Danio rerio: one gene and its partners. The protein of the gene in region 7 binds, or shares a complex with, the protein of the main gene of each other region. Links are inferred from orthologs where the notes say so. Each region holds a gene or a part of one and is shown on either strand. Other genes may lie near its edges.

Region 1 (3,500 bases), on a different chromosome or scaffold from region 7:
CTAGAGTAGAATAAAGTAGATCAGAGTAGAGTATAGCAGAATAGAGTAAGATAGAGTAGAATAGAGTATAGTAGAGTAGAATAAAGTAAGACAGAGTAGAATAGAGTATAGCAGAATAGATTATGATAGAGTAAAGCAGAATAGAGTAAGACATAGTAGAGTAGAATAAAGTAGATCAGAGTAGAATAGAGTAGAGCGGAATAGAGTAAGATAGAGTAGAGTAGAATAGAGCAGAATAGAGTAAGAGAGAACAGTAGAATAAAGTAGATCAGAGTAGAAAAGAGTAGAGTAGAATTGAATAGGGTAGAGTAGAATAGAGTAAGATAGTAGAATAGAGCAGAATAGAGTTTAGTGGAAAAGAGTAGAGTCGAATAGAGTAGAGAAGAATAGAGTAAGATAAGAGTAGAATAGAGAAGTTTAGAAAAGAGTAGATCAATATAGAGTAGAATAGAACAGAGTAGATAAGTAAGATATCCAAGTAAGATAGAGTAGAATAGAGTAGAGCAGAGTAGAGCAATATAGAGTAGAGTAGAGTACAATAGAGCAGTGTAGAACAGAGAAAACCTTATAGTAAAGTGTGACCAATGTAACAGCATGATTACAGCATTCCTATTGAATAATGCGGATCTTATTGCTTTCTCACTACAACCGAACTGTTTCAGAGTTCAATTTAATTGAGCCGAGACCACCACATTCAGGCGATCTCCGAACGATTGTTTTGGTACAGATCAGAGAGCGATTGTGGGTTTCCACATATGCCTGAACGCAACAGGTTCCCAACAAAACTTAAACTTAGGATGTACTCACACTAGGCATAGTTGTGTTGAACAGTGCCCAGGCGCGATTGTCAAATGAATAGCCTAGTGTGAGTACATCCTTAAACTAACGTGTTACTGAATAATAAAAGAGCTACTGCCAGTTTTTCAGCAGAAAAGTGATGCAGGTGTAAAGTCTTACTTGGGTATGAGCGAGAGCTGGCCGATGCTGGAGTGATGCCACACGGCGTGAGCCAGAGCCAGAACGTAACTGCAGTGCATCTCTGAGTAGGACTGATGGCAAGCGGTGAAGTCCAGAAGCTGGAATGGGTAACCCAGCCAATCTGACCCAGAGCTGAGCACCGCACTGCTGATCACACTCACGATACGGTCATGCAGGACGATCCAGTAGGGCTCCTGCAGAGAGAAATACAAAGCATTAAACACAGATCTGCGCAGCTCGTGGAATAAAACACAGTCTTCTGGTTTCAACTAGCAGCTAGATCTCTGCAACTCTCACATGGTCGCCCACTGAAGCTAAGCAGGGCTGCGCCCGGTCAGTACCTGGATGGGAGACCACAGGGGAAAGCTAGGTTGCTGCCGGAAGTGGTGTTAGTGAGGCCAGCAGGGGGCGCTCAACCTGTGGTCTGTGTGGGTCCTAATGCCCCAGTATAGTGAAGGGGACTCTATGCTGCTCAGTGAGCGCCGTCTTTCGGATGAGACGTTAAACAGAGGTCCTGACTCTCTGTGGTCGTTAAAAATCCCAGGATGTCCTTCGAAAAAGAGTAGGGGTTTAACCCCGGCATCCTGGCCAAATCTGCCCACTGGCCTGTCCATCACAGCCTCCTAACCCTCCCCATATCATAATTGGTATATCATCACTCTGTCTCCACCAATCAGCTGGTGTGTGGTGTGCGTTCTGGCGCAAAATTGCTGCTGTCACGTCTTCCAGGTGGATGCTGCGCAGTGGTGGTGGATAAGGGAGATTCCCCCACTGTGTAAAGCGCTTTGAGTGCCCAGAAAAGCGCTATATAAATGTAAGGAATAATAATAATAATTATTATTATTATTATCAACTGTTTATTACTGTTAAGCATCGTTTAGAAAATACTGATTTAAAAGAGAGTGGTGTATGAGCTCTGTATAGACTTAATTCTCTGACTTTCAATGCCTGAAATGGACCATATAAAATCCCATGACAATCCCAACCCTCTCAACTCTGTGCATTTGTACTGAAAAATATATGTATATTTGGCAGCTTAAAGACGCCTCTCATATGGAGAATGAAGTAAAAAATGCATCGCTCAGGTGTGAGTTTCTCACAGACTTCAACAGAGAGTCAAAATCTTGATGGTTCTGTGGATCAAATCTGAGCTTTATTTTGTAATCTCTATTGGATTCAAGTCAGGTGATTGGCTGGGCCATTCTACAGCTTGATTTTCTTTCTCTGAAGGCATCTGAGAGTCTCCTTGGCTGTGTTTTGGATCATTGTCTTGCTGAAATGTCCACCTTGGCTTCATCTTCATCCTCCTGCTGATGTAGATGTTGGACTGAAGCAGCTGATATTCATTTACACCGAGGAAGGGCACTACTGAGAGATTTCAGTTGCTGTCTGGGCTTTCACTGCAGAACTACACCTCCCTTTCTTCATGTGTTCAATACTTTTTCCCTGCTTCATTTCATTTTATTACACAGAACTTCATTTGTAAACTAATTAGATTTGTTTTCTGTGCATACAAGGATTTCTTTGGTTGTTACCAACATCTGGGGAAAAGTCAGCCGCACCTCTAGAAAAATGTTTCCTGAGAAAAATGGTGCCACAATGAATATTTAATTCCCCCGCTGTAAACGATTTAAAACTCTTTTAAACTCATGTATTTATTAGTCACCATCTTATTGTAATACCCATGTCATTATACACATTTGGGTCCTGAAATGTCACAAAAAAACACACACACACACACACACAAAATGTAAATAAAGGTGTGGCCGTACAGGCAGAGCGGTGATGACCAGTCCGATGGCGTTCATCCAGGCCGTGATGTTCTCTCGAGGCACCAGCGGCTGACTGTAAAACACCAGACCCATAATTCAACACACAGCATGACTCCACTCCTCCACACACACACACACACACGGTAATGAAGATAACACACCTCTTGAGCACCACATTAGCAAATACACAAACTAATGAAACCTTATAGTGACCAATGTAACAACATGAATAATGCATAAATCAATTCACACCAATAACTAAGACCTCAGTTCATTAAACTACTAATTAGCAGCTTATTAATAGTTAGTAAGGTAAGCGTTGGGTTTAGATATCATGTAGGGTTAGAGATGAAGAATAAAATCATACTTTATAGCAACTAATAAACAGTTAATATAGTAATAATAAGCAGGTAATAATGCAATAGTATGAATTCAACACACAGCATGACTCGACAACTCCGAACACACCTATAATAACTCCTAATGACAAACCTCTTGAGCACCACATTAAGCAGAGCATTGCCCACGTCTTTCCCCGGGACCGCCAGAGCCATCAGCTCCACACAGGTGACGTGCAGCGCATGAGCGGCCGGGTTCGGGAACTCGTTAAACCTCCAGTCACAGTTGGGGAACGGGCCTGGAGATTTACCTGCCATGGGTGACTTCGGTTAAGGAGACGCTGGACTCTAAATGACCTAACATTTAAAGGTGCAATACATAAGTCTGACACCCAGTGGTTGAACAAGGTAT
Region 2 (3,500 bases), on a different chromosome or scaffold from region 7:
GCTAATGATTCTGACTTCAACTGTATATAAACCAATGGTTACAGGCTTCCAGCTTTTTTCAAAACATCTTCTTTGGTGTTTAACAGAAGAAAACAAGTAAAGGTTTGAATCAAGTAAAGGGTGAGTAAATGACAGAACTTTCCTTTTTAATTGAAATTTTAAAATGATCCCTCAGGCAAATAAGATAACTGGTTACAAACAACATGCATTGCAGATTTGATGTAACTACTTTCAAAAAACAGCAATTGAGTTTTAAAGATCAAACACATCCCCTTCACTCAGCGTATGAAATAATACATCAGGACATTTAAAATTCCTAGAGACTGAGGAAATGCTTATAAAAACTTGTTTTATTATTATTAATTGTGGTTGTTGTCCTAAATCCAAACTTTTTTTGATGTAAATTTGGTGTTTGTTCTACATTCTAATTGTTGTATGATTTTATTTATATGTTAAATTCAGTGTTAAAGACAAATTTGCCTTCAGTGACAAGCAGAACAGACAATAAAGTTTAAACAAACACGTTTACTGCATTGTCTTCTGTAAATTAGGTTGTATATGTATTTTTCAGTCATTGTGTCAGGAGTATACCAAGTTCTACTGCCACAGGAAGCTCTAAACTGATGCAAGACAAGTTGCATATTTGTGGGGAGTTTTCAGCAAAAAACTGCAGTATATGCATTTTTTACAGCACACTAAAAGTGAAATTTCTTGATTGACTAATAGACACCAATGGCATATTAACCCCAAAAGTGAAGTTCAGGTGCAGTACTGAGCAGTATATAATTTTAATGCAGTTGTTATAGGTTTTGTTTGGTTGAGGCAGGCAGGATATGACCTGGACTGGACAGCATAGAATTCTCGTCCTCATTGGAGCTCAGCAAACGCATCAGTTTAGATGGCTGTGTGTCATCCAAAGGGAACAGGCTGGTGTAGTCCTGCAACCAATGAAAGAACAGTGAATGAGCTGAAGTGTTTATAAAATCATGAGGTGTACACACATAATACACATGTTGATTTTGCAGGCAAATGTGTGACCCTTTATCAGATTTCTTAATCATTTTTTTTCTGTTATTTCTGAATATTAAAATAAAAGAATAATAATAATTATTATAATAATAGTTAGCCAATGTTGATTGTATTCAATCTTCCATAATTGTAATTTCCCCAAAACATAATTGCAAAAAACATGAATTTATAGTTATCTAACTAAATTATTTCTAATTTAATTAATGTATTATTTCTTCTCAGCACATTTCTGTCAATACCAGTGTAAAAACAGCAAATAAAATGTGTCACCTGCTTGCAATATCCTTTTAATGAAAATGTCCATAATTATAAATAAAATACAAGCAGTTATTAGTATTTGAAATTCTGATGACAGACACTGGACACAAGTGAAATAAAGAAAGCGAAAGTGATGTCTACAGTTGCTATCTATCACAGTCTATCAGAATTATTAAATTCCCTGAATTGTTAAGCCCCCCTGTTTATTTTTTCCCCAATTTCAGAGAAAAGATGTTTTCAACACATTTCTAAACATAATGGTTTTTAATAACTTCTCTAATAACTAATTTCTTTTATCTTTGTCGTGATGACAGTAAATAATATTTGACTAGATATTTTTCAAGACACTTCTATACAGCTTAAAGTGAAATTTAAAGGTTTAACTAGGTTAATTAGGTTATATATATATATATATATATATATATATATATATATATATATATATATATATATAAATATATATATATATATATATATATTATATAAAAAGGGGCTAATAATTTTGAACTTAAAACGTTTATATAAAATTTTAAAACTGCTTTTATTCTAGCCGAAATAAAACAAATTAGACTTTCTCCAGAAGAAAAAATATTGTCAGACATGCTGTGAAAATTTCCTTGCTCTGTTAAAAATCATTTGGGAAATATTTAAAAAAAAAGAAGAAAAAAAAAAATCAAAGGGGGGCTAATAATTCTGATTGCAACTGTATATGGCTATATGGTGATTGTGTTAAATGTATGGAAATTTACATACAGCTACACAGCCTATATCTACTTTGCTTTAACGACCACTTTATTTTTATTAAGTTAGTGTGGTTAATGAAGATATGAATGAGATTCAAAGATGAATTATATGCTTGGTAATAGTGAGCGCAAAAGAGACTAATTGTGCTTTCATTTTAAGCTCATTGCTCTTAAACTGTCAAAGTTCTGATAACGCTAGCTGTGTGAAAAACAGCATAACTGACCTCTATATCCTCACGGTGTCTTTTGCGTTGTCGTGCTGATGCTTGACCCTTATGATGAGACGAGTAAGAACTGAGAGCACACCACACTGATAACCTAAACAAATAAACAGAGATATTAAATACCTCAAACAAAAAAATAAAAAATAAAAATAAAAATAAATAAATATATATACACAGTTGAAGTCAGAATTATTAGACCCCCTGTTTATTTTTTTTCCCCAATTTCTTTTTAACAGAGAGATAATTTTTTTCTATACATTTCTAAACATAATAGCTTTAATAACTCATTTCTAATAACTATTTTTCATGACACTTCTATACAGCTTAAAGTGACATTTAAAGTCTTAACTAGGTTAATTAACTCAACTAGGCTGGTTATGATAATTAGGCAAGTTATTATATAACAATGGTTTGTTCTGTAGACAGTCAAAAAATTAGCTTAAGGGGCTAATCATTTTGTACTTAAAATTGTGTTTAAAAAATGAAAAACTCAAGTCGAAATAACACAATTAAGACTTTTTCCAGAAAAAAAAAAAATTAAGTTATTCAGTTAAACATAATTTGTGAAATACTTAATTATTTTTTTTTTTATTAAAATCAAAGGAGGGCTAATAATTCTGACTTCAACTGTATCTATAAAAACATTGTGGCTTTCGGTTCCTAACTGTTGGCTTTGAGATGAACAAAATCGCAGACAAAGATAAAGCTGACATTGAAAATGGCATCAAAGCAGTTCACCGACTGTCGACAAGGGTGTTTGACAACATCTAAAGAACATCTTGAGAAGAGAAACTAAGGGAAAAGCGTGATATTCATCAGAACGGATGTCCGTTTATAATCTCAGACTGAAAAAAAGTAGTAAGTGGACGTAAGCAAATCAAAAGAGGAACTAGAGTAAAGAACGGAGGTCCATTCATAAATATATACACTTTAAATCCATGAATCAACCCTTTCTAAGAAATAATCAATCAAAAAACAACCATCATAGTCTGTAAAGCCACTGGGTCAGAGTACCACTTCTCATTCCATATTAACACAAGTAGACAATGACGTGCGTTTTCCAATTGGTTTGAATAATAGGATGAACAGTAACAGGATATAAATGTCAGCATTACTGAAAATTTGTAGAAATGGAGCACTAATGATCTAATCTGGCACAAAATAGGCTAAGCTTCAATTCCTGACACAAAGTAGAATCCCATGATGTCACTGCAATGGTACTCAACATTTTTTGAGTCAAAGTAAA
Region 3 (3,668 bases), on a different chromosome or scaffold from region 7:
TTTAGATTACTTTTGCGCTAACCCTTAGTTGATGTCACACATAGAATGAAAAGAATATAAGAAACGTATATTCACAGCATATTTATTATAAACACACACACACACACACACATATATATATATATATATATATATATATATATATATATATATATATATATATAAAAATAATGTTCATAATGGAATCATGTAATTAAAAAGTAACTAATTTGATTACGAGTATTTTAAAAAGGAGTTTATTATAATTACAAGATCTTGATTTTTGCAATATGATTACAAGATTGCATAATTTTAGAGATTGCATATAATCGGATATCACATACAAACCGATATTACATATAAAAAAAGTTTACAAATAAACCGATTTTACATACAAACCAATATTACATATGAAACGAGATTGCAAATAAAACAAGATTACATACAAACCGATATTACATAACAAGATTGCATTTAATCCGATATTACATGTAAACAGATATTGCCTATAAACCGATATTACATAGAAAATGAGATTACATAAACACCGATATTGCAATTAAACCGATATCACAAATAAAACAAGATTACATACAGGCCGATATTACAATTAAAACGATATAACATACAAAACGAGATTACTTATAAACCGGTATGACAATTAAACCAATATTACAAATAAAAGAAGATTACATTTAAACCGATAACATACAAAACGAGATTACAATTAAACCAATATTACTAATAAAACAAAATTACATAAACTGAGATTACATTTTAAATATTGCATTTAAAACAAAATTACATATAAAACGAGATAAACCACTATTGCAAATAAAACGAGATTACTTACAAACCGATATTACTTATAAAACAAGATTGCATTTAAACCAATATTAAATATAAAACAAGATTACATTTGAATCGATCTTACATATAAACCGATATTGCCTATAAAACGAGATTACATAGAAAACGAGAGTACACATAAACCGATATTACCTATAAAACGTGATTACCTATAAACCAATTACATATTAACCGATAATACAATTAAACCGATATAACATACAAAATGAGATTACATATAAACCAATATTAGTTATATCGATATTACAATTTAACCAATATTAAATATAAAACAATTACATATAATCCAGATTAAATAATTTTATAGATTGCATATAATCTGATATTACAAATAAAATGAGATCACATATTAACCGTTATTACATATACTCTGATATTACATATAAAACGATATATATATATATATATATAAACGTGTCTGCCACAGGTCAGCCGTCAAAGCTGCTGTACGTGATGCACAACTCAGAGGCGCCACTGAGCTGCATGGCTCTGTTCGAGGGCGGACCGGGACTCAGCGCCGACGCAAACTTCGACGTCCTCATGATCAAACTCAAGAGTCACTTTCAGAATGCAAAAGGACACAAAGTGGAGAGTCGCGGCACTCGCTATCGCTACTGCGACTTTCTGGTGAAGATCGGCACTGTTGCCATGAGCTCCAGCGCACGAGGGATTTCAGTCGAGGTACTAAAATGTGTTCAGTAGCTTAAATACACGTTATGAGTGTTGTATCAGTTTCATACTAACATTTATTATGAATTTACAAGAATTGTACGCAAAAATTACTCATCAAAACTGCAGCAGGTTTATTACTATAGCTATATTAGAGTCCACACTAGTGAGTGATAACTGTTTGTCTCCACATGAGTGAACGATAACTATATTAGCGTCCACGCTAGTTAACGATAACTACAATGATAACTATATTAGTGTCCACACTGGGGAACAATAACTACATTAGTGTCCATACTACCAAACAATAACTATAGCGTTATCTATATTAGCATTTATTCTAGCGAAACATAACTGTAACAATAAATATATTAATGTCCGCACTAGTGAGAAATAACTAAAATGATAACTATATTAGTGTCCAGACTGCCATACAATAACTATAGCGTTAACTAATATTAGCATATACTTTAGCAAACCGTAGCCTTAACAGTAAGGTGAACGCTAATTTATTAATGCTATAGTTATCGTTCACTTGTGTTGACATTAATATAGTTATTGTTCGGTAGTCTGGACTCTAATGTAGCTATTACGGTTATTTTTCATTTGCGTGTCACACTGATATTAGCTATAATTTACTAGTGTGCACATTAATATAATTATCGTTCAATAGTATGATTATAGTAACAAGTAGCAAATATAGCAATTATACTAATCATTTGCCAGTATGGAAACTAAAATAGTTATCGTTCAATAGTTTGAACAAAATAGTTAACGTTTAAATAATTGTTTGCTAGTAAAATGTTAATATATTTATTATGGTCTGCTGGTGTCGACTATTTAGCTTTTAGTATAGTTGTTGTTATCACTCACTAATGTGGACAGTAATATAATTATTGCTAGCTAGTCTGAATGCTAATATAATTTTCATTATACTTATCGCATGCTAGTATGGACACATGTATAGTTACCGTTATAGTTATCGTTCACTAATTTAGTAAGTCTTAAATCGCTATTGGGAATGTACTGCTAACACAATACCGTTAGTGGTAATGAGGACCGCTAACGTAGTTGACAAGATTGTGTGAAAGCTAATAGTTACTGTACATTGTATATGTAATTGATAATAATAAATAATATATCGTAATAAAATATGATGTGTTTGAATAAGTCCCACTGTCTTAACTTAAAATGGAGAAATGTATGCTAATTGCGCTGTGTGTGTGTGCAGGTGGAGTACTGCGCGTGTGTGATTCCCGGCGACTGCTGGAACCTCATGAAGGAATTTATGCAAAGTTTTCTGGGCTCTAACACGCCCGAGCTGCCGACGGTGTTTACGAATAAAGCGGAGGGTCTGTACGTGCCGGTGGACTGCATGGACACCATGAGCCAATACCTGGAGCTCTTCAGTAAAGTGCGCAAACAGCAGGTCCTGCCAGGCAGCGGCGTACGCTAAAACTGAACAAACACTAGCGCACTGTGTGTCCTTATATAGAGAGAACTTTATATAAGCTATGTGATGAGAACATTTCTCATTTATTTCGATTGCAAGTTCTGCGAAATACATCTGTTCATGTGTTGTTTTTTATATAGCCAATTACTTCCTGTGTTTGACCTTGTTTTTTGTAAAATAAACTAATTAATTTTGAATTTTACTCCTTTATTTATTCAAAATCGACCAGTTTTTGAACATTTGTGTTTTCAGGTCCGCAAAACAGTGTTGTGTTGTATTGTAAACTAATTGGCAAGAAAAAAAAAAACATACATCAACGCATGGAAAATAGTGCTGCGCAAAATTTCAACACAATTAAAAATAGCATCCAAAATAGTTTGTTTCGAAGTAATGCAAGTGTGTGTAGTGTGTATTTATTGTGTGTACATAAATACAATCTTGCATGTATATATATATACACACACACACACACATATACCATACCTACATATATAAACACATATACACACATACACATGTATATACAAACATACATACACACATATACACATACACATGTATATACAAACATATATACACACATATACACACACACACACACACACACAGTATTATGTTGAAACACTTATTTTGGATGTGATTACTCTTTGCACAAAGCACTAATAAAAAAAGTTTTTCTACTTTAAAAAATACCCAA
Region 4 (3,942 bases), on a different chromosome or scaffold from region 7:
GATCAACTTTTGATCATCTTTTGAGAAATTGGTTGGTTGGATATATTTTATGTATAATTTCACTTTATTAGTGACACAATACTTGTTGTTATAAGTCCAGATCAAGTTCCAATAGATATTCTCAGATTATTCCAAAAGTATTTGTGTCTAAAAGTGGCAAGATAATAAATCAAGCGTCTACAAAATTTATTATTACATTTTCTATCTTTGAAATCAACACCATGTAATTAAATCTCATTTTTAACTGTTAGTTTATTTGGTTCACTGTAACTCTGCAAAAGCCCCGCCAGGCCTTGTGGAGGCACAGGAACTAAACTTCTCAAAAAAATTCAGTAGCCTATAAGTCAGTAAATATCCTTCATCTTTTAAGCTGTGAGACCAATAGAACACCTTTTTAACCAAATTATCATGGAAAATAGATTTTTTTTTCTTATATTCCAAGTCACAAAATGTATTTTGTAGGCTACAAATATTACTACGAAAAAAAAAGGTGCAAATGCCTCATAAATACTTTTTTAAAATATTGCCTGAACTTTATTCGGCTTACTTATTTGTTTCTAAACATTTTGATATTCCGAGTAGTTGTACATTTTGTGGTGAGGATGATGAAACTTTAATACAATTATTTTGTATGTGTGAATTTGTTCAGAAATTTTGGTTTGACCTTTATCGTTATTAAACACTCCTCCTACCTTTGCACAATATTTTAGTTTAAAATAAAGTGTTTGTTATTACTCAGAATAAATCTGAAGAATTTGTTTTCAACTTTTTATCTTGTTTGGAAATATTTTATACAAATATGCATTGTTTCAGTCCCTACTTTTCGACATTTTCTCATTAAAGTTGACTCCTGCTCAAATCTTTGCGTACGTGTAACAACAACAAAAAATGTGTCAGATACTTGGCTCTACATGAAGAACTGTTGACTCTGATTTGAGTTAAATAGCTCTTAATTAATTTATTTTTATACAATTTTATACAAGTGTAATTTACTTACCCCTTACAAATGTAGTTTGTATTGTTCCTATTTTGTATCTCTCTTATATTGATCTCCTGATTGTGGTTGTAAGTTTTCATTCTTTATTATTTAAAAAAAAGGTGCAAATGTCGTGAAACACTTTTACGACAGCAGCACTGGTTTTATGGCAAAAATGGCGTCAGCGGTCTATGTCCGCATAAACAATGAGTAATGTGTTGTTTTTGGTAATCGCGCTCTAAAAAATCTTTTTATACTAATCATTTTCCAGATATTTCAGCGTCGTCTGAATTCTCGTTGTCCGTAATGGCTGGTGTTATGGAAACAGGTTTGTTAAAATTAGATTGAATTGTTATTTAGCACATCTTTGCCCACGAGATTCCTAGCAATGTGACAGTTAACGTAAATACAATTGTTTGGTAACGTATTTTAGTTTCGTTTTGATCATATTAAGTTATACAACGTTTTAGAGGTACTACACTATGTGTTATTTTCTGTACTGGCGCAGATATATGTTGTTCAAGCAATTTCTGTAACACTTAACATTAAGGTAGTATCGTCGTTAGCCAATGTTTGCTAACATGAACAAACAAGAATCGTTATATTTATTACAGTGTTTGTTCGTCTTTGTTAAAAGTATTAATGAAATAAAGTAATCTCAACTTACGGTGCATCAACTAATGTCAAGCATGAACTTGCATTTTAATTATGCACTAATACAAGTATTGTTCGTTGGTAGTTCATGAATACATTTACTAATGATTATTTGTATTATTTCTTTTCAAACACAAACATTGCTTACGCTTCTATTTGTGCTTTGACAGACGAGCAGGCGAGACAGCGCTTTCAGCTGGAGCTGGAGTTTGTTCAATGTCTGGCAAACCCAAACTACCTGAACTGTAAGAACAACGTTAACTCTTGTTTCTTTTTTACTGTTCGCTAAATTCAGTCATTACTTTAGTCATTGGTCAAATTCACTCATTGGTTGTTACATTCTGTAAATTCAAGGTAATTTTGTTACTGTGGTCGAAATATGAAGATGGATAATGATTATTAATCTTAATTTTTTCCCCCCATCCTGCAGTTCTGGCTCAGAGAGGTTACCTGAGAGAGAAGCCTTTCGTCAATTATTTAAAGTATCTGCTTTATTGGAAGGAACCAGAATATGCTAAATTTCTAAAGTAAGTAACATGTTGTTCTTGTTGAAATAGATTGTTAATTTGTCAAACATTTCTTCTTTGGATGATGAGTGCTTCTAATAAAAGCATGAAAGAAAGAAAGAAAGAAGGATATAAAATTTGTTCAATATCGTGTAGTTCTAGTGCATAATATTTATTAGTTATTTATTATTAGTTATTTATTAGTTAGTATTATTAATTATTTATTAGTTTACTAGTTATTTTGTAAAATACTATTATTCAGCTTAAAGTCCTGTTTAAAAAATTGACTAGCTCAATTAGGCTGGTCATTTGACAGCAGTTGTTTGTTTTGTAGACAGTCGAATATAAGAAGTTCTTAAGGGGGTGAAAAATATCGACCGTAACGTTTTAAGAAATTTATTCTTTTAATGCCACCAGAATAAAGAAATGAGACATTCTATATAAGTTAAAACGTAATAGTTTAGAATAGAAATATAAATATTTGTTTTGCTAAACATGACTTGGGAAAATATTTGAAAAGGAATTAAGAATTTTACAGGTGGTCTAATAATTTAGCTGTATATAGTTGTATTTAAAAATGTAAATTGAATTACAAGTTTAGTATGTGTGCCTAATCTGTATGGAACAAAATTAATGGCAAAAGTATTGAAATAAAAAGTTTGTTGATTAGCATTAACTGAAAAAAAATAATGCATTGAATAAGCAACTGCTTGCATTTTAATGACTTGAATTGCAAGAGTTTGTATTTTTAGGGCCTGAATTTTAACACGGCTGTTTATTTAAGCTGTGAATATTTCAACTAAAAATATTTTAAACATGTTTTTATACTTAAAATTTCAACAATTCATATTCAATTTCCAGATTTCATATATATATTAAAAGTTCAATTTTTAAATATATAATACTGGTGAAAAATATGAAGCATAATGTTCAAAATTTAACTTTCAGTTTGTTTACTTTTCAGTTTAAAATTTTGCTTCCAAAAATTCAGTGGTTTAAATTTGGCTCTTAAAATTCGACATTACTTCCGGGAACTGCAGGAACAGCAATAGATTGCAGATTGGCAATCTCCAGCTGCTTTTTCACTAGCAGGTGGACCAATTTAAGATTTTTAAACCATTAAATAAAGGTTTAAAAACTCCCTTTTTAAGGGAAAAAGCTAATAACAGCACAAAAGTAGCATTTAATATTGTCCTTGTTAAATTTTAACAGCCGAATTTGATCCACTAAATTAATGGAAGAGAACTTTTGAACTGAAATAAAGTGAGTTGAAAATTGTCTTTTGAATATTATACATGAAATCCGGAAATTAAGAATTATTATTTTTAAGTATAAAATAAGTATAAGAATTTTCAAGTATAAAAACGTGTTTGAAAAATTTTTAATTGAAATATTTACAGCTTAAATAAACAGCTGTGTTAAATTTCAAGACCTAAAATTACAAACTCTGGCAATCCAAGTCATTAAAATGCAAGCAGTTGTTAATTTAATATATTATTTGTTTCAGTTTGTGCTATTCAATACGTTTTTTTTTTGTTTTTGTTTTTTTTAACAATACTTTGATTTTGTTCCATAAATCTGCAGTTTACATAACCTAAACTATAAAGTTATATTATTTTATTTGTCAATATAAAGCAAAAACAGACAATATGGTGCCAAATTGTAGGTCGCTTACCATTAGTGCTGTGTGATACTGAACAGAAAAGATTTAAGCATTCTAAATAATTCAATGCAATATTTTATTAAAAATATCAAATCAATGAAATATTTCATATGATTTCAGGGAAAAGAGAACATCACTACAAC
Region 5 (4,287 bases), on a different chromosome or scaffold from region 7:
ATCTTTAAAAGACCAACTTATCTAATGTGTTTGAGGCATTTATTCGCCTATCTGAAGGTGTCAGACTGATAATGTGTGTAAATAAATAAGGACTGACAGAAAAACACAGCACTCGGAGACACACCTTTGGAGCTGGTAACAACACCATAACTGTCTCGATTACAAACACTACTGCATCCAAACGTAAGTAAAAGACACATAATAGTAAATTACATTCATTAGATGTCGACAGGAAGCATTACAGTTGAGCTCATCTTCAACAGCCAGCGATGTCATGCAGCCCTAAGATGGCACGAAACTTCAAAATAAAGGTCTCCACATGTCGATTTATTTTCAAAATAAACGTCACAGTGCATTTAATGTTTTCCACAATAAAAGTTACTCGACTGCTTTGCGTTCATGGTTCATACCATTGGTTCATACGTACGTACTGCATGTAAATGGTAAATATGCATGTTTAAGCTATTTGGAAATAATATGATATGAAATAATAACAATTATTAAAACAATATAATTTTTGGAAAATATGCTTAACGTGAGCTTATAAAACTAGGTATTTATGAGAAATGCACATAACTAAGAAAATGCTAGAAAAAATAAATAATAAAATAACAATATAATAATAATAAATGATGATGATGATGATGATAATAATAACAATATTAATAAAAAAAGTCCTGCCAGTGCACTGAAACGTATAATATACTTAAAGTAACTTCCCTCATTGACTAAATTTTGACACAAAATATAACTTCATTCATTCATTCATTCATTCATTCGTTCATTTTCTTTTTGGCTTAGTCCCTACAGGGAGGGACATTCAACATGCAAAATCCAAACAAAAACGCCAACTGACCCAGACGAGGCTCGAACCAACAACCTTCTTGCTGTGAGGCGACAGCATTACCTACTGCGCCATATGGAAAAGTATACCATTTACTGTCTTTTTCTTTCTTGTATTTAATTAACCAATTAATTTTGAATGTATTGTTTAAAGTTTTAAAAAATGAACACCGATAACCCACCATTGCATTTTTGTTTACACATAATTTTCCATTTTAAAATAGTGATTTCCATTACTCCATAAAAAAAAATATATTGTATTTTAGGAATAGCCTAATTATTTCTTCATGTAGGACATGTTCCAGGATAGATGTCACTCCATGATTGCATTGGCAAAATCACACCCACCTCTTAGAGCCATTAGTTTTTCTGCAAGCAAACACCTTGACTTGAATTTGATCAACAGGGCAATCGGCTTTTCGCAACCATAATTGATGTTCTCCTGCTATTAATAATAGGCTAATAATACTCAATTTTAATACCCATTTTATATGATAAAGAGTTCACTTCAGTCCAGTAGGTGTCACTAAATGCACGCCTAAAAGAATAGAGCAAGCGTTGCACAATGCGCATGCGCAGTACTCGCTATCCATACTGCGCATGCGCTTTACTCACATGGACGCAGTTTCATCGAGACACATTATTTTTTCGTAGTATTTTACGCAAATCATTAGTTTTGTTTATTGCTTTTTGATACAAGTACAATATATGCTATTTTTAATTCATCGTCTGCCTGCTTTTTGTTGATAATATCTTCTAACACGTCTTAGCATGTCTATTGTTGTGGATGTTTTCTACAGCAGTTAAAGTTCTAGTTTAAGTTAATCTTTCAACTGATCGTTGACTGTAAATGTATTAAGAGACTTAAGTTCAGAATTATAATACTAGTAATAGTAATAATAATAGAGTGATGGAGGCTCCGCCGGTTACTGTGATGCCCGTCACGGGTGGAACTATAAACATGATGGAGTATCTTCTGCAAGGTAAACAACACCATCAGCACAACTCCTTTTACCATTCATTCATTCCTATTTATCATTTGTTACACTTTATTAAATAGTTTTAACTTAGTTTTTAAATACCCATTATGAGCAATCTCAATTTTTTAATTAGCAAAGTCATTTGAATAAAGCGTTGAATATGTTAAAGTGAATATGTAATTATAAACAATACACACACATTTTCTAGCGTTTTAAACTATTTTTATTTAACGCACCCTAATCTTCTTTAATTCCTTAAGACTTTTAATTTGGGATTCTGTATAATAAAAACATGTACTACAGTATTACTTTATGAATGTGCTAACGTTATATAAAACGAATAGTTTAGCATAATAATAGTATGTATACAATGTATTCATTGTAGTGTTTGTAGTATTATAATTTACAATTGTTATAATTTAAATTATACAATTATAGCATGCACTGTGCTACACGAGAGTTCTTTTTGCTGAGTCTTATTGTTTGCATAATATAGTTTGCTTATTTGGTCATATATTACCATTCCTACTTAAACCGTTACCAGATTTGTGTGTGTTCGGAGTAAATACATTTTTAACAAAATTATACAGCTAATTCATAAAGTATAATCAATAACACTTTCAAAATATGGTCTCATTAGTAAATCTTAGTTCATACATTAAAACAAAAAGCCACAGTGAGGGATATCGACATTTATTACAGTTAATAAGTTAATGTAAGTAAAAAAATACAACTGAAATGTATTATTTAATAACTAAATTTATTAAAACAATTACATCTTTTTTTTAGTGACTTATTAAGCATTAACTAAGAAATTGACACCACATTGCGAGAAATTGTGACATTACTTGAGACAAATTAGTCACAATTACAATTTTATTTTTATTGATGTATAGGAACAGGCTTAAATTATCTATCTATCTATCTATCTATCTATCTATCTATCTATCTATCTATCTATCTATCTATCTATCTATCTATCTATCTATCTATCTATCTATCTATCTATCTATCCATCCATCCATTCCCCTATCTATCCATTTATCTATCTATCTGTCCGTCCGTCCGTCCGTCTGTCTTTCTGTCTGTCTTTCTGTCTGTCTTTCTGTCTGTCTTTCTGTCTGTCTATCTATCTATCTATCTATCTATCTATCTATCTATCTATCTATCTATCTATCTATCTATCTATCTATCTATCTATCTATCTATCTATCTATCCATCCATCCATTCCCCTATCTGTCTGTCTGTCTGTCCGTCTGTCCGTCCGTCTGTCTATCTGTCTGTCTGTCTGTCCGTCCGTCCCTCCATCCGTCCCTCCCTCCATCCATCCATCCATCCATCCATCCATCCATCCATCCCCCATCCGTCCATCCATCCATCCATCCATCCATCCATCCATCTATCTATCCATCTATCTATCTATCTATCTATCTATCTATCTATCTATCTATCTATCTATCTATCTATCTATCTGTCCGTCCGTCCGTCCGTCCATCCATCTAATCTTCCATCCATCCATCCATCCATCCATCCATCCATCCATCCATCCATCCATCCATCCATCCATCCATCCATCCATCCATCCATCCATCCATCTATCTATCTATCTATCTATCTATCTATCTATCTATCTATCTATCTATCTATCTATCTATCTATCTATCTATCTATCTATCTATCTATTTATGCCCCTAATCTATGCATCCATCCATCCCACCCCCTATCTATCTATCCATCTTGACTTGGCTGTGTTCTGTTGGTTTGTTTGGCACAGGCAGTGTACTGGACCAATCTCTGGAGAGTCTCTTGCATCGCCTCCGGGGCCTGTGTGATAACATGGAGCCTGAGAGCTTTGCTGATCACGAGTTGGTGTATCTCCTGAAAGGTCAGCAGGGCAACCCGTTCATCCTGCGTGCCCGCCGCTCGCTCCTCGACCCCTCCGTCCCCTGGCACCTGCGCTATCTGGGTCAGCCCGAGGTGGGCGACAAAAGCCGTCATGCCCTGGTGCGGAACTGCGTGGACGTGGCAGCCTCGCACAGCTTGCCTGACTTCCTCAATGAGATGGGCTTCCGCATGGACCATGAGTTCGTGGCCAAGGGTCAGGTGTTCCGGAAGGGTGTGATGAAGGTGGTGGTGAGCAAACTGTCGCGTGTGCTGGTTCCTGGAAACACGGATAACACGGAGCCGCTCTCTCTGTCGTATCTTGTTGAGCTGAGCGTTCTGGCTCCTGCGGGACAGGACACTGTGTCTGAGGACATGAGGAGCTTCGCAGAACAGCTCAAACCTCTCGTTCACCTGGAGAAGATTGATCCCAAAAGACTCATGTAGAGAACATGACCTACAGACTGAGATTTTTAATTCGGTGAATAGGTGTTAAGACTGCATTTATTTGGAATATTTTTGATGATTGTTTTCTTTTTTTGTAATTGATGAAATGCTAATTAAAATCTTTAAATAAAAATA
Region 6 (3,500 bases), about 9.0 Mb from region 7:
CTTGTACTTGAGTACAAATTAAGCTGAGTAATCTACTTCGTTACTTTTATAATCACAATTCGTTACAGAGTACTGTCAATAAATTAATATTTCAGCCACGCACTGACCAGCATTTCGGTAGCCAATAAAAAAAGCTGATCTTAACGGACCAATGAAAAGCCTGGTACATTATTTGAACCGAAAAACAAGTTCAGGCTACTGCAGATTTACGTGACCGTCATCATACAATCACAAAGTTATCAATTGACATATGGAGATGTAAGACAGAAGAAATGAGGAAGAAATAGCAGAGGATGAATGCATGGCCACACCCGGAGGAGCTGTTCACCTACGGAGTGCAGAAACTCTTGACAATTCTGGAGGTCATTATTAATATAATATAATACTGAAATGGTTGAGGCGGTTTAGAATGACCAAAACAACACTTTAGATGTTTTACAATGTGCTTAGCCTGCTGGTTTGTCCATTCACACACATTTTCAAAATATATGCGCATTATAGCGTTTCCATCTACCGTTTTATGTGCATATCCAAAAAGCGCAAAAATAAGTGGATGAAACCTGCCCTCGGCTGTGCCATCCGGCTTACACAGGGTTTCTGTGGGGTCTTAAAATGTCTAAAATATAAACATCTAAATTTTAGCCCTTAAAAAGTCTTAAATTCGCTGTTCTAGATCTGAAATATGTTTGCACATGTCTTATTTTTCCGATGTACATGTAACGCTACTTCTAATGCTCATTTAATATAATTTTTTGTTGTTGCTTGGTTTCGTGGTGGTGTAGTTCTTTATTTCACTAGTCCTATTGTAATTTGCAGTATTAAAACTACAAATAAGCCCAGCATGCAATAGCTCAGTGCGCGCGGCGAATGTGACGTCATCGCCGTGTTTGCGGAGGTTCACTTTGGATGCGCGCGACATGATTTCGGGTGAACAGTTCGCGCGGCGCCGTGCTAGATTTGAGTTGAATTTGAATCACTTTGAAGAGATTTTGTTTGTAACAGTACGACTGTACAGACATCTTAACTATCCGACCATGCGTGGACAAAGAGATAACCAGATGACCGATAATTCTTGGCTAGAAATTGCAACAGCCATGGAAAGGAAGTGTTTTGTTAAAGTTTGGAAAAACCTGGGGGATAAGTTTGTTACAACAAAAAAGAGGCCATGGCAAAAGTGGAGACCCAGGTGGTTTTAAGATTACAGAATATGTTTTTCCACCATTTATAGGTTTTACACTGATGGATCATTTTGAAGTTAAAGCAATGTAACAAAAATTAAGGAACAAATTAAGTATTTGATAACTGGAAAATAATATATGAACCCATCAGCTTACAGTATACTGAAGCCCAATTTCTAGGCTTTATTGGTGATGATGGACAGGATTGTTGGACCATTATTGCCTTTTCAGCTCATTAGTAGAGGACAGAAACTAGCCAGACAATAATGTGTCAATTGTTGAGTGGGCAAAAAAAAAATTTTTTTTTGCTATTATTCTTGCCAGAATAAAAAAATAATAATTGTAGAGTAACCCATGTTCTGTTGTCATTGATATTTAACTTTAACAGGTAGAACTGTCCGTGATATAAACAAAAGTGAGTGATGCATCAAACTTTGATTTAAAAAATCTTGAAAAGATTTCATTCATTACAATCATTCATTAATTTTCTTTTTGGCTTAGTTCCTTTATTAATCTGGGGTCGCCACAGCGGAATGAACCGCCAATTTATCCCGCATATGTTTTACACAGCGGATGCCCTTCCAGCTGCAACCCGTTCTCATTTACAACAACAGACAATTTAGCTTACCTAATTCACCTAAAATGCATGTGTTTGGACTGTGGGGAAAACCGGAGCATCTTGAGCAAACCCATGCAAACACGGGGAGAACATGCAAACTCCACACAGAAATGCCAAATGACCCTGCCAAGGCTTGAACCAGCGACCTTTTTGCCTTGAGTCGAGAGCGCTACCCACTGCCCCACCCCGTCACCCAACTTTGTAATCATAATAAATTATAAAAATAATGAAAAATAATTATTTTTAAAATCTTGAACAATATTAAAGATATGACGTAGTCTTAAAAAGTCTTACATTTGACATTACGATATCTGCAGAAACCCTTTTTTTTTTTACAAGACTTCAGTCTATAATCTGAAAAAAAACATTATGGTAAGAAGACATAACTTAATTTGTGTGATATTTAATTTATTAATAATATGTTTAGGCACTAGGCAGTGTTGTTTTGTGGTTTCTGACGGTTCAGTTGGCGAATTAGGTAATTAACAAAGTTTCTCCATAATTTGCAAGTGTTTATTTTTTATATATTAAATCATCTATTGATCGTACAGATAAAAGAGGCATCATTTGAAATGATAAGAAGTCGTGCATTTGTGCATATTTCTGTTATCTTTATACTCAAAATAGCAAAACATTGTTTTTGTAAAATAATCATGGTGCGCAGTGGGTATCGCTATCGCCTCAAAGCAAACAGTTTGTTGGTTGAAGCCCTGTCTGAGTCAGTTGGTGTTTCTGTGTGGAGTTTGCATGTTCTCCCCATGTTGGCATGGGTTTCCTCTATAGGTGCTATATAATTATAATCTATAATTAATGCTGTTTACACAGTTTAAAAAGTGTTTATAGTATCTTTAGATGTGTTATGTAAAATGTGTTTTACTGCCTAAATCTTGTCTGACTCCGGATTTATGGATAATTCCACCAATACCGCCAAGCTAAAAAAGTAATTTGTAATTTTGTAATTTGAGTAGTTTTTACGAAGAGTAATTTGTACTTTTACTTGAGTACTTTTTAACACCAGTACTTTTACTTGTAATTGAGTACAATTTCAGCAATGTAACAGTACTTGTAATTGAGTACAATTTTTTTGTACTCTTACCACCACTGTTTAAAAGACACGAGAAGCAAGTGTAATGGTCAAATATGTCTGTCTAGCATGTCTTAACATTAAAAAAGCAATACAAAAGTAGAGGGTTGGAGAAGAAAAATGCATTCTGTGTAAAAGGCCTCAGATCATCAGTAAAGATCATCACAGCTGAGCTCACCTGGTTGGGAAGGTTGGCCAGCAGGTACAGAACAAAGTCTCCGACCCACTGAATAAGCTGCTGAAGGGACTGGAGGGGTGGTCCATCCAGAACAAACTCCTCTGTCTTCAGGTTGATCATCACCTTATCAATGTCTGAACACATATTAACAGATTAAAAGATGTGCTTAGTGTCAAAACAACAATAAATGTGTGTGGATAGGAGAATGCAAAGATTCATTCTATGTAGGTCTGTCATAATTATTAATTTGGTGATAGGGCTGTGCGATTTGGGGAAAATACCATACTACACTTTTTTTTTTTAAAGATATTACAATTTTGATGATTCAATTTTGTAGTCAAACTTCAGCTCAATAATCTTTATAGTAGCTTCTAATTGCTAAAATGCATTTAGAGTTATTTAAAAAAAGGAACTTAAAAGATACTAACTTATATTAGCAAA
Region 7 (4,142 bases):
CGCCCATAAAACGACAAACTAAGGATATGGGGACGCGCCTGTCAATCAATATTGGTGGGCGGGGGAACTGCACTCCTACGTCAAGTTGTGGTCGCTCTGAAAACCGCTCCAATTGGTCCATTTTTGTAGTGTTAAATTGGAAAAAAAAAGGGCCGTGTGTTTATATCACCCCAATATGACGGTCTATACACTATACATGCATGTCTGTCCAAACAGCTTGAAAAGTAGATTTTTCACCATAGGTGCCCTTTAACCCTATATAGTGCATCTGGAAAGTATTCATAGGGCTTCACTTTTTCTACATTTCTTTGTTACAGCCTTTTTCAAAAATTGATTAAATTAATTTATTTCCTCAACATTCTACAAACAATACCCCATAATGACAATGTAAAACAGTTTTTGAAATTGTTAGAAATTTATTAAAAATAAAAACGCTGAAAAATCAGATGTACATCAGTATTTACAGCCTTTGCCGTGAAACTCTAAATCGAGCTCAGGTACGTTCTGTTTCCACTGATCATTCTTGAGATGTTTCAGCAGCTTCATTGGAGTTCACCTGTGGTCAATTCAGTTGATTGGACATGATTTGAAAAGGCATACACCTGTCTATATACGGTCCCAGGGTTGACCTTGCAAGTCAAAGCACAAACTAAGCATGAAGACAAAGGAATTGTCTGTAGACCTCCGAAACAGGATTGTCTCAAAAAACAAGGCTGGGGAAGGTTACAGAAACATTTCTGCTGCTCTGAAAGTTCCAATGAGCACAGCGGCCTCCATCCATAAGTTGAAGATGTTTGGAACCACCAGGACTTTTCCTAGAGCTGGCTGGCCATCTAAGCTGAGGGATCGGGGAGAAGGGCCTTAGTCAGGGAGGTGATCAATAACCCAATGGTCACTCTGTCTGAGCTCCAGCGTTCTTCTGTAGAGAGAGAAGAACTTTACAGAAGGACAACCATCTGTGCAGCAATCCACCAATCAGGCCTGTATGGTAGAGTAGCCAGACAGAAGCTACCCCCCGCCTGGAATTTGCCAAAAGGCACCTAAAGGACTCTTGGATCATAAGTAACTAAATTCTCTGGTCTGATGAGACTAAAATTGAACTCTTTAGAGTGAATGCTAACGGTCTAATCTGATTCAATTCATTATGCTAAGCTAAAAGTGACCCCGCCAGAGCAAGAAATGGCTGAATGGATAAAAAAAAAAACATTTCAAGTCAGCTGTTCAACTCTAGGAGACTTGTAAAGAGAGCCTTGAAAAAGGTGCAGTGTTTCTTTAAATCATGTTTAAAAGCCCATCTTGCACCTGCTGAAACCATTTAAGTCATTTGCATTCATATGTGGACACGGAGAGTTGAGCTCAAACGGGACTGGCTGTAGTAGTTTCATATCGACGATGCAGGTTTAAAAAGGGCTTTGCATATTGTTTGTGTTCTCATGCTGTTGTACATTTATTAGTGGACGTCGTTTTTAAAAGTGTCATTTTCTGACAATGAAAAGAGCTTCAAGTATCCAACAGCTCAAAGAGCAGCTCATGCAGGCCGTCGATGCTCAAAACAATGTGAGTAAGAGCTGAGTAATGCAATGGGAAGTCCTTCTAAATGCATGTCGTTTATGCTAAATGTGTTCTTGATTGTTATTTTTTTTTATGAAAGTTTTGTCTTAAAGTTTTGTCATTTGTAAGCATGACTGTTTTTATTCCTTTAATTAATTCAGGTAAATTAAAGGACAAAAGTTCCTCACTACAGTATTTCAAATTGGTTGTTTCATTGAAAAGGAAAGATTGGCTGGTTTTATTTTATTTTTACATGTATGTTGACTGTTGGTTTGCTCAATCTGTTGTGGGATTTATTTTTTAAAGCAAGTTTTATAGACATTATTTCACAGAGTTTTACAGGAATGAGCGTGCAAGCAGATTTGCATTTGAAACCACAAATGATGACTGAAAGTGTGACTGCTCCAGGTGCACATATGAGAAAATATATGAGAACGTTCATGTCTGAAAAAGACACAGAAACTGACCTCAGTGTATAGAGGAAAATAGCAGTAAATGTAGATGATGTAGACTGAAAGTCTGAAGTGACATGAACTTAACCTTTACCTGTCAGCAGATACAGAACATGGTGGCTGTGTTGGATGTGATATGCTGTCTGGAAAGTTACCCCATGACTAAAGAGACTCTAGAGGTAAGATACTAACTCGGTATGTTTGCACAGAGTTTAATTTAGAAAATGATGTGTTGTTATATTGTGTGAAAACATGAATAAATAAGACTAAAATCACAAAGGAGGAGCACAGCAGCTTCACAAATGCAGTATATTACAAAATATGGGAAAAGGCTGAATAGTACATGCACAATTTTAAATGAAACAAACAAATGATGAATAAAAATTATATAAATTACATTTATAGAAATAATAAATAAATAAAAACGTTACTAAACCCTACAAAACATGTATTAGCTTGCTCTGATGAGCACAAAACAGCCATTCTAAAATATGCTGGAGTTATTAACACAAACTTCCTCAGGTTTAGGTTGACACAAGCCAGTATTTTATAGAGTGACCATCTTGTCTGGTTATAAAAAATCTAAATTAATTTATTTTAGGTTGAGCAGACGAAGAAAAAAAACTAATTTTCAGATTTTAATTAGCAAAGACCAGACCACCAGTGAGCACTTCAGAGAAACTCACGTCATACAGCTATTAAAATTAATGTGCCACCTTTAAAAATGTTCATTTCATTTATTCATTTTCTTGTCGGCTTAGTCCCTTTATTAATCCGGGGTCACCACAGGGGAATGAACTGCCAACTTATCCAGCAAGTTTTTTACACAGCGGACGCCCTTTCAGCCACAACTAATCTCTGGGAAACATCCACACACACATTCACACACACACTCATACACTACAGGCAATTTCGCCTACCCAATTCACCTGAACCGCATGTCTTTGGACTGTGGGGGAAACCAGAGCACCCGGAGGAAACCCACGCGAAGGCAGGGAGAACATGCAAACTCCACACAGAAACGCCAACTGAGCTGAGGTTCGAACCAGCAACCCAGCGACCTTTTTGCAGTGAGGCGACAGCACTACCTACTGCGCCACTGCCTCACCCATGTTGACATTTTCAACCATAATTATGTGTGAATGCATATTTATTTCTGCCGTTACAAAATGTTACAAATAAATTCTAACGATGATGCAGCAAATGCTACCGAAAATTACACTGCCAGTTTAGCCAATTATATTTGAACACCCCGGGTTGACTTCATGGAAAATTGCATATTTTATTCATAAATGCTCTCAAAGCATGTGTCCATGACCGAAATGGACAGTAGCGGACTCCTAAATGAGATGCAAATTCTGGAATGTGTTGTTCATCTAAAATCATATTTTGCCAACTATTTCTATAAGATTAAAATAAAATAATCAAATAAGGCGAAGCAGTGGCGCAGTAGCTAGTGCTGTCGCCTCGCAGCAAGAAGGTCACTGGGTCGAGCCTCAGCTCAGTTGGCGTTTCTGTGTGGAGTTTGCATGTTCTCCCTGCGTTCGCATGGGTTTCCTCCGGGTGCTCTGGTTTCCCCCACAGTCCAAAGACATGCGGTACAGGTGAATTGGGTAGGCTAAATTGTTCGTAGTGTATGAGCATGTGTGGATGTTTCCCAGAGATGGGTTGCGGCTGGAAGGGCATCCGCTGCGTTAAACATGTGCTGAATAAGTTGGCGGTTCATTCCGCTGTGGCGACCCTGGATTAATAAAGGGACTAAGCCGACAAGAAAATGAATGAATAATCAAATAAGATCAAGTCCTTTTCTTAAATATTCAACTTTTTAAATTTATTTTGTGGAATAACTGCCTTTATAAAAAAAACTGTATTGTAAAAGATATTATTACCTTTCTCATATTAATTTATTCATTTTCTTGTCGGCTTAATACGCAGCAGATGCCCTTCCAGCCGCAACCCATCTCTGGGAAACATTCACACACACACACAAATACACTACGGACAATTTAGCCTACCCAATTCTTCTGTACCGCATGTCTTTGGACTGTGGGGGAAACCGGAGCACCCGGAGGAAACCCACGCGAACGCAGGGAGAACATGCAAACTCCACACAGAAACGCCAACTGAGCCGAGGCTCGA

What was found.
Region 1: mediator of RNA polymerase II transcription subunit 26-like (region 7) and med23 share a complex: the UniProt entries of both Homo sapiens proteins name them as parts of the mediator complex. The link is inferred for Danio rerio from reciprocal best matches to the Homo sapiens genes MED26 and MED23.
Region 2: mediator of RNA polymerase II transcription subunit 26-like (region 7) and med24 share a complex: the UniProt entries of both Homo sapiens proteins name them as parts of the mediator complex. The link is inferred for Danio rerio from reciprocal best matches to the Homo sapiens genes MED26 and MED24.
Region 3: mediator of RNA polymerase II transcription subunit 26-like (region 7) and med20 share a complex: the UniProt entries of both Homo sapiens proteins name them as parts of the mediator complex. The link is inferred for Danio rerio from reciprocal best matches to the Homo sapiens genes MED26 and MED20.
Region 4: mediator of RNA polymerase II transcription subunit 26-like (region 7) and med31 share a complex: the UniProt entries of both Homo sapiens proteins name them as parts of the mediator complex. The link is inferred for Danio rerio from reciprocal best matches to the Homo sapiens genes MED26 and MED31.
Region 5: mediator of RNA polymerase II transcription subunit 26-like (region 7) and med18 share a complex: the UniProt entries of both Homo sapiens proteins name them as parts of the mediator complex. The link is inferred for Danio rerio from reciprocal best matches to the Homo sapiens genes MED26 and MED18.
Region 6: mediator of RNA polymerase II transcription subunit 26-like (region 7) and med16 share a complex: the UniProt entries of both Homo sapiens proteins name them as parts of the mediator complex. The link is inferred for Danio rerio from reciprocal best matches to the Homo sapiens genes MED26 and MED16.

The regions. Positions count from the first base shown.
Region 1 is NC_133195.1:2,599,294-2,602,793, forward strand, and holds part of med23 (mediator of RNA polymerase II transcription subunit 23), read right to left. Parts: intron 3,409-3,500; coding exon 3,243-3,408; intron 2,824-3,242; coding exon 2,751-2,823; intron 1,173-2,750; coding exon 958-1,172; intron 1-957. UniProt on the Homo sapiens protein: Required for transcriptional activation subsequent to the assembly of the pre-initiation complex. Component of the Mediator complex, a coactivator involved in the regulated transcription of nearly all RNA polymerase II-dependent genes.
Region 2 is NC_133187.1:11,200,937-11,204,436, forward strand, and holds part of med24 (mediator of RNA polymerase II transcription subunit 24), read right to left. Parts: intron 2,349-3,500; coding exon 2,255-2,348; intron 939-2,254; coding exon 839-938; intron 1-838. UniProt on the Homo sapiens protein: Component of the Mediator complex, a coactivator involved in the regulated transcription of nearly all RNA polymerase II-dependent genes.
Region 3 is NC_133197.1:578,330-581,997, forward strand, and holds the end of med20 (mediator of RNA polymerase II transcription subunit 20), read left to right. Parts: intron 1-1,276; coding exon 1,277-1,530; intron 1,531-2,749; coding exon 2,750-2,974; 3' UTR 2,975-3,168; downstream 3,169-3,668. UniProt on the Homo sapiens protein: Component of the Mediator complex, a coactivator involved in the regulated transcription of nearly all RNA polymerase II-dependent genes.
Region 4 is NC_133196.1:43,308,451-43,312,392, reverse strand, and holds the start of med31 (mediator of RNA polymerase II transcription subunit 31), read left to right. Parts: upstream 1-1,142; 5' UTR 1,143-1,282; coding exon 1,283-1,304; intron 1,305-1,800; coding exon 1,801-1,875; intron 1,876-2,060; coding exon 2,061-2,157; intron 2,158-3,942. UniProt on the Homo sapiens protein: Component of the Mediator complex, a coactivator involved in the regulated transcription of nearly all RNA polymerase II-dependent genes.
Region 5 is NC_133191.1:7,708,827-7,713,113, reverse strand, and holds the start of med18 (mediator of RNA polymerase II transcription subunit 18), read left to right. Parts: upstream 1-1,487; 5' UTR 1,488-1,753; coding exon 1,754-1,826; intron 1,827-3,598; coding exon 3,599-4,152; 3' UTR 4,153-4,287. UniProt on the Homo sapiens protein: Component of the Mediator complex, a coactivator involved in the regulated transcription of nearly all RNA polymerase II-dependent genes.
Region 6 is NC_133186.1:14,629,193-14,632,692, reverse strand, and holds part of med16 (mediator of RNA polymerase II transcription subunit 16), read right to left. Parts: intron 3,194-3,500; coding exon 3,060-3,193; exon of another isoform or gene 2,897-3,059; intron 1-2,896. UniProt on the Homo sapiens protein: Component of the Mediator complex, a coactivator involved in the regulated transcription of nearly all RNA polymerase II-dependent genes.
Region 7 is NC_133186.1:5,668,093-5,672,234, forward strand, and holds the start of mediator of RNA polymerase II transcription subunit 26-like, read left to right. Parts: upstream 1-1,342; 5' UTR 1,343-1,488; coding exon 1,489-1,557; intron 1,558-2,104; coding exon 2,105-2,182; intron 2,183-4,142. UniProt on the Homo sapiens protein: Component of the Mediator complex, a coactivator involved in the regulated transcription of nearly all RNA polymerase II-dependent genes.